2 linked regions of the Danio rerio genome follow. The protein of the gene in region 2 binds, or shares a complex with, the protein of the main gene of each other region. Links are inferred from orthologs where the notes say so. Each region holds a gene or a part of one and is shown on either strand. Other genes may lie near its edges.

The links. Proteins that work in one complex are often made in the same cells at the same time.
Region 1: the proteins of oprk1 (region 2) and pdyn are in contact, whole or in part, in a cryo-EM structure (PDB 8F7W), measured with the Homo sapiens proteins. The link is inferred for Danio rerio from reciprocal best matches to the Homo sapiens genes OPRK1 and PDYN. Residues at the interface, in NP_000903.2 of Homo sapiens: Thr111, Gln115, Trp124, Val134, Ile135, Asp138, Tyr139, Met142, Lys200, Glu209, Cys210, Asp216, Tyr219, Lys227, Val230, Phe293, Ile294, Glu297, His304, Ala308, Leu309, Tyr312, Tyr313, Ile316, Tyr320; in NP_001177821.1 of Homo sapiens: Tyr207, Gly208, Gly209, Phe210, Leu211, Arg212, Arg213, Ile214.

The regions. Positions count from the first base shown.
Region 1 is NC_133198.1:45,171,412-45,175,622, forward strand, and holds pdyn (proenkephalin-B precursor), read left to right. Parts: upstream 1-1,411; 5' UTR 1,412-1,521; intron 1,522-1,718; 5' UTR 1,719-1,730; coding exon of another isoform or gene 1,731-1,733; coding exon 1,734-1,856; intron 1,857-2,953; coding exon 2,954-3,589; 3' UTR 3,590-3,986; downstream 3,987-4,211.
Region 2 is NC_133177.1:33,844,802-33,847,338, forward strand, and holds the end of oprk1 (kappa-type opioid receptor), read left to right. Parts: intron 1-1,412; coding exon 1,413-1,948; coding exon of another isoform or gene 1,949-2,029; 3' UTR 2,030-2,037; downstream 2,038-2,537. UniProt on the Homo sapiens protein: G-protein coupled opioid receptor that functions as a receptor for endogenous alpha-neoendorphins and dynorphins, but has low affinity for beta-endorphins.

The sequences.
Region 1 (4,211 bases), on a different chromosome or scaffold from region 2:
AATAACACACAGACTGGTGGAGTTTCCTGCTCTTCGTCGAGATTAATGCCGTTTTTCTGAGGGGATTCACCTATTAAACTGGGTTTTTATATTGATTCATGCGAACAGATGAGAAACAAAATATATACAATTGATTAGCCACCCATTTAGCTCACAACATAGCCATCTTTAAAGGTATATATGGCGCTGGGCCATCGTATTACACTGGTAGCCTATAGTTTTGGCAAAATACATTGTATAACCTAAGTCAAATTTAGATTTTTTTTTCTAGAATATACAGTTTTATATGGAATATTAGGCATTTGTTCCATTAATATGTCAATTTAATACTATAAATACATCAAAATAAATGGTTTTTATTAGCATAGCAATGTGCATATAGCTAAGAAAATCATGTAGACGGCATTTGAATGTGATTTTCTCAGATTCTGGGTTTTTAAATAGTTGTATCTCAGCCAAACATTGTCCAAACAAACCATACATCAATAAAATATTGTTTATTATAATTAATCTTAATCATGCTTGTTTCAAAATAGTCAGTGCTACTGGTACTTTGTATGTAGGTTTCTCATTTAAATGCATTACATCAAAACATAATTGTTTGGCATTAATTAACATTGTTTTTATAAAAACTGCATATCATAAGCCCATTATAATTTATTAAAAGATGTTTTAAGAACATTGTGATGATTGTGCGAGTAGTAATTCATGACTCAATGGAAATGAGTGATATTTTAACCATATTTGCAATGCACTGCAGTATCTTGCTAGGCTACAGCTTTCCTTGAAACGTCCAATACACTGAATTGTGGAGTTCCAGAAACAGGACGATATGCATGATAAACGGAATGCTACCCAATGCCAGCCGGTACAACATCCGGATTGTTAGAGGTTAAAGCAGGAAAAAGGCTATATTTTCATGGAACTGATATATAACCCATGCTTTGGTCTGGATATTGAGTATTTGAATCAAACTGTGATTTATGTCATTGAAATTTCAATCAAGGACTTGCTAAGTGAAAATGGAAGTCTTTGAAAAGAGGAGCACTCAGGCTTGAGTTAATGATGCTTCTTAATAATACAAGTTACCAACATACTCCTCGTCAAAGTGGGTATTTTTAATTTAATTTCATATATTTATTTAAAAGAATATAGGCTAATTTATGCAATTGAAGTGTAATTTAAACTACTTGAACACAAACCATTTATAACCACTATGCACTTCTCAAATATTTTTAAATCTGTATTATTTATATTAGAATAACGTCAATATTTTACCCTCATTACGTGGGTGGGATCAGTCAATCAAATGGCTCGTTGTTTCCATTGGTCAGACCATCGTTCATTCAGACAGCTGTGTGGGCTGCGTGAATAAAAGTATGAAGGCTGGGTTGAGTCCAAATAAGAGCAAACCGTGGATGGATAACGAGTGACTCCAGCAAAAGACAGGAGAACAAAGAAGTTTCCCCAAGTGATCGCCTTGACGCTTGGAGAACGAGATAAGCTCTGTAGGTAATCAAGGTAACTGAGCAGATTTTGTGTTGAACTGTGTGTAAATAATATATTTGTAAGATGACAAGTCAACAACATTGATGAATGGTTGGAAATAAAAATAAAAAAAACTCTAAAAGCATCCTAACAGCTGAGAGGATAAAGTGGATCCTGAGTGGAATATTGTTTATTTAAATCCTCTTTTCTTTTGTTCTCTCGCACCACAGGAATCACTGTCGATGATGGAGTGGTATGTGTTGGTGTTGATGCTGAGCTTTCCAACCTTGAGCCAGGCAGATTGTTCAGCGCAATGCCTGAGATGCGCGCAACAGATCTCCGATTTGGACTCTGCGGTGAACCGCTTGGTAAGATTATTATCCCTATATTTTGAGTTTTACGTGCGCTTAATTTAGGGTTAACACAAGACTAAAAAGCCAAAATTGGCTGACAAATTAAACTTATTGGATCTGTATATGTTCTATGCTAATCAAAGGTGTAAACATTGAAAACATAATCTTAAAAAAGCTTTATGTATTTTATTAAACTATTGAAAAATTACTTATAAACTAAATCAACTCTATATTAAGCAATTATTTAATTAATAGAAAGATCTGTGTATTAAGACCATTTGGTTTCCAATAAAACTGTGCGCTTTTCATTTGAGGCGCGCGCATTCAGCACCATGGAGAGCGCGGCTATTACGCGCTCCTTTAGATCAAAAAGCTTGGAGAAACCAGTTGGGGAAATATCAGATATGGCTTTTGGTAATATGATTAATATATATTAAAAAGAATAGGTTGCACTTTCAGATGTGATTTTTTTTCTATTGTAAATAATAAAATGTTAGGCGTCACGATGGCGCAGAGGGTAGCACATTTGCCTCACAGCAAGAAGGTGGCTGGTTTGAGCCTCGGCTGGGTCGGTTGGCATTTATGTGTGGATGTTCTTCCCGTGTTCGCGTGGGTTTCCTCCGGGTGCTTCAGTTTCCCCAACAGTCAAAAGACATGCGATATAGGTGAACTGGGTAAGCTAAATTCTCCGTATGTAGGCTATGTAGGTGAATGATTGTGTATGGATGTTTCCCAGTGATGGGTTGCAGCTGGAAAGGCATCAGCTGTGTAAAACATATGCTGGATAAGTTGGCGGTTCATTCCGCTGTAGCGACCCCTGATTAATAAAGGGACTAAGCCGGAAAGAAAATGAAATGAAATAAAATGTTCTGAACTTGAAATGTGATATTGAATCTATTTATTAGCAAACTAATGCAGTTCCTAATAAAAAAAAACTCTAATGTGTTGGTATTTTTACATAAAAAACTTTAATGTTTAATTATGCTCTACAATTTGTGTACTTCATCCTTGAACTGTTTTGGGTTCATTTTTGTCGGTATTTGACTGTGAATTAATTTTGGCGGCAACTCTGAAAGTGTCGAGCCCAGTTAAACCTCCTTTTCTTCTTCCAGACTTGTACTTTAGAGTGTGAAGGAGCCGTTCCGCCTACCGGTACACTTGACAGATGTGAGAAGGCTTTACAGGGGCTTTCAGATGATTTAGCGGAGCTCAATACAGGCGCAGACGGAGAAACAAACGCGTTAAACACAGATGAGGACCTCCAAGAGAAGACCTCCAACCTGGTAAAACGATACGGGGGATTCATCAAGAGGATCGACAAGAATAAAAATAAGTTTTTCTCTTCACCCTGGAAAGAGAACGCCATACTGAAAGGACTGTTCGCGAAGAAATACGGAGAATCTCTGTCGAAACTGGGCGAGCGAGACCTACCGTCGATAACGGAAGACGACGAGGGCGAAGATATGGGGGCGGAAAACGAAACGGGAGTTTACGATAATGAAGTTCCATTAAACGAAGTCAAACGTTACGGCGGGTTTCTTCGCAAATTCGGTCCAAAACGAAGCTACTTCGTGGATGACACCAACCCACAGGTGTTACAGAAGAGATATGGTGGTTTTATGAGAAGAATTCGTCCTAAGTTGAGGTGGGACAACCAAAAGCGATATGGCGGGTTTTTACGACGCCATTTCAAAATCTCCGTGCGCTCTGACGAAGAGCCCTCATCGTACGAGGACTATGCTTTATAGGCTGTTGTATCATTGATAACTCAACTAGAACTCATTTTTGCCAGTGTATTCCAGTTGTTTCCACCTTGATCTTACGCGTGTTGAGGCTGTTTTACTATCCCCAAATGGCTGCTGACTTCTGAACGCCGTCAATCACCTGTCGACCTGTAAATCATGTGCTCTGCAACACAATATATCATGGCAATTCGTAACTGCTTTTTAGGTTTTGGTGAATTAGTGGATATATTTGTATGACCAGCTCGCTCTTTTTTTGTAGATATTTTCCTATGAATTAGCCACTAAGTCATCAAAACCTAAAATAGCACCCGTTGACTTTTCCCCATATGTAAGCAATCAATACATACTGCAGAAAATGCTTGTTTAAGATGACCAATAAAGGGCAAAAAAGTTTACCTGCTAAAATTGTTTGGGGAATGTTTTGTGTGAAGTTTTTCTAACTAATCTAAAAATAAAGGTAATTAATAACTTTGTTTTTCCGCTTAATGCCACATTCAAAGCTGCATTGTTATGTTATTTGCAACATTAACGATTTAGGACAGATATAATCCTCCTTTTTATACTCAAAAATGATAAACCTTGTCAGGAACTGTCCATCTGAAAGTTCTCACGAGAGTGTTTAAGT
Region 2 (2,537 bases):
AAATCAACCACACACCCCCGAACTTCTTATTTGACCGCCTGTATCTACACTGCAGAGGCTTGCTAAAACAAATATAAGCACTTACATTTAAAAACATGTAATAATTTAAGATTTATTTAAAAACTGTGTGATTTAAGCAGTTTTTTTTATAATTTAATAAATAGAATATATGTTGGACTGCAAAATAATTGATCTTTCATACACTCTAGCCTAAGTTAGACTCAGCTATGAGGACAATAAATATTTCTCTTATAATGAGTTGTTGGTATTTATTATCTTCATAGGCATAAAAATAATATAAAAACAACTCTACATTATTAGAAAGGTTTTTATTTTTATTCAGCAATAAACAGGACTGAAAATATTCACAACACGGACAGCTATTGGCCATGTGGGAAAAATTGTGTGTGGTTATATTAGCAAAAGATAAAAACAGTAAGATTTCTAAATATTAACAGGATATTTACACATCCTATGCCTGCATTATATAAAATAGTTTTATCAATTTGTACAATAAACTTAGCAGTTTTAAGACATCGACTGATGCCTATTAGCTGCTGCAACATCGACGGTTATATTGTTTATCTGTTTTTTCTGCGCCTTCATTTTCATTTGGTTTATTTGATGCCTTCATTATATCTGGCAAAGAGGATTCATTTTAATGTTTATTAGGAGGTTTCAAAGAAAAAGCCAACAATAAATGATGCATATAAATAATATATAAAATTTACATCTCAATTTGTTTAATAAGATTCTGTTTCTAGAACATTAATATTTAAAAACAGCAAATTCAGTAGATTAACTCAATAACATGCTGAAACTCAAAATGTCAGAGAACATTAATATCATACATTTCTATCATATAAAACATCCAAAAGAAATCACAAATCAACCTATTATCTATTCAAGAGAATAATACAATAATACAATACTTTATTGTCAGACTTGCATCTGAATTTGTTCTTGCATAACAGCATGATAAATGCTTCTTACAAAAAGACAAAGACATACAAAAATAATAATAATTAATTTTACATGGGCCTTATTCAGCTCCAAGATAGCCTGATATACAAATAATTTTTTTAATTTCACCTCATTAAAACGTGGGACTCTAAATTGACGGTTAGATTTTAATGGTATAAATTCTTGGTTCAACACATGACTATAGGGCTTGAAATGATGTTCCTTGCCAGCCTTTGAGGTTCATGTAATACGAACAGTCATATAATTTACCCTACTTTACTCAGGGGGACCAAAACAATCCCAAATCTTCTTCTAATAATAGATGGGACAGTCAGTTCTTCACTTCATCCTGATGTGTTTGTTGTTCCTACTTATTATAGCAAGCATGATTAACCTGTCCTCACTTCTGCTTAATAATTAACCGCTGTTGTTTCATATTTGATCCGCAGGCACGACAGAGTGTGCTCTGCAGTTTCCAGACCCGTATGTCTACTGGGACACATTGATGAAGATCTGCGTCTTCATCTTTGGCTTCGTGGCTCCTCTTCTCATCATCACCGTTTGCTACACTCTCATGGTTCTGCGCCTCAAGAGCGTTCGCCTGCTTTCAGGTTCACGTGAAAAAGATCGCAACTTGAGACGCATCACTCGATTGGTTCTGGTTGTGGTGGCAGTGTTCGTTGTGTGCTGGACCCCCATTCACATCTTCATCCTGGTCAAAGCTCTTTCGCACGGTGTGCCGGAGACCACATCGGTCATGGCTGCCTACTTTTTCTGTGTGGCGTTGGGGTACACCAACAGCAGCCTGAACCCCATTCTGTACGCCTTCCTTGATGAGAACTTCAAGCGCTGCTTTAGGGACTTCTGCTGCCCAGGTCGGACTGCAGGCGACGGGCGTGGGGTTAGTCGGGTCAGAAGCACTCTCCGAGAGCACACGTGCCCAGCAGAGGCCAAAAATGATGGAGGCCAGGGTCGACCCGTATGACTAGCCGTGGAGCTGTCATCTTTTCATGGTCGAGAGGACTCCAATGACTTGGGACTGACACAGATCACAACCGCCATCTGAGGAAGGGATTGTGGCGTTTAGGTTCAGGCGAGGGCGCTTAGGAATCTGTGATTGAGCAAAAAGGCTTTGTTCATTCAGTATGTCCATATAAATATTTACGGCATCACCTCATTTAGAGTTTACTTTCTCATCCCCGTTGACCAAAGATGGAATGTCATGCTCAAACAGGCTTTTGCATAATGTTACTAGTCCTTTAGGGTATATATGTAAGATTTTCCTTACCTGCGTCGATGCAATGCTTCTTTTGGTGTTGAAAGGATTTGGAGAGAGTAATGAGTATATAAAAATGGCACTGTTTATTCGTTTGGTCTTGGTGGAATAGATCTGCTATGCTGCTGCTGCTTTGATTACCAAGACTCTATATATTCACAGACACTCTGTCTAAGAATATATCACACTCCTGCTGCAAGCACAACATACATTAATTCCCCAATAGCAGATCTATACACAAATGGAACTGAGGTGGAGGAGGGCTCCTAAAAACATGCTGCAGATTGCTAATGCAAAT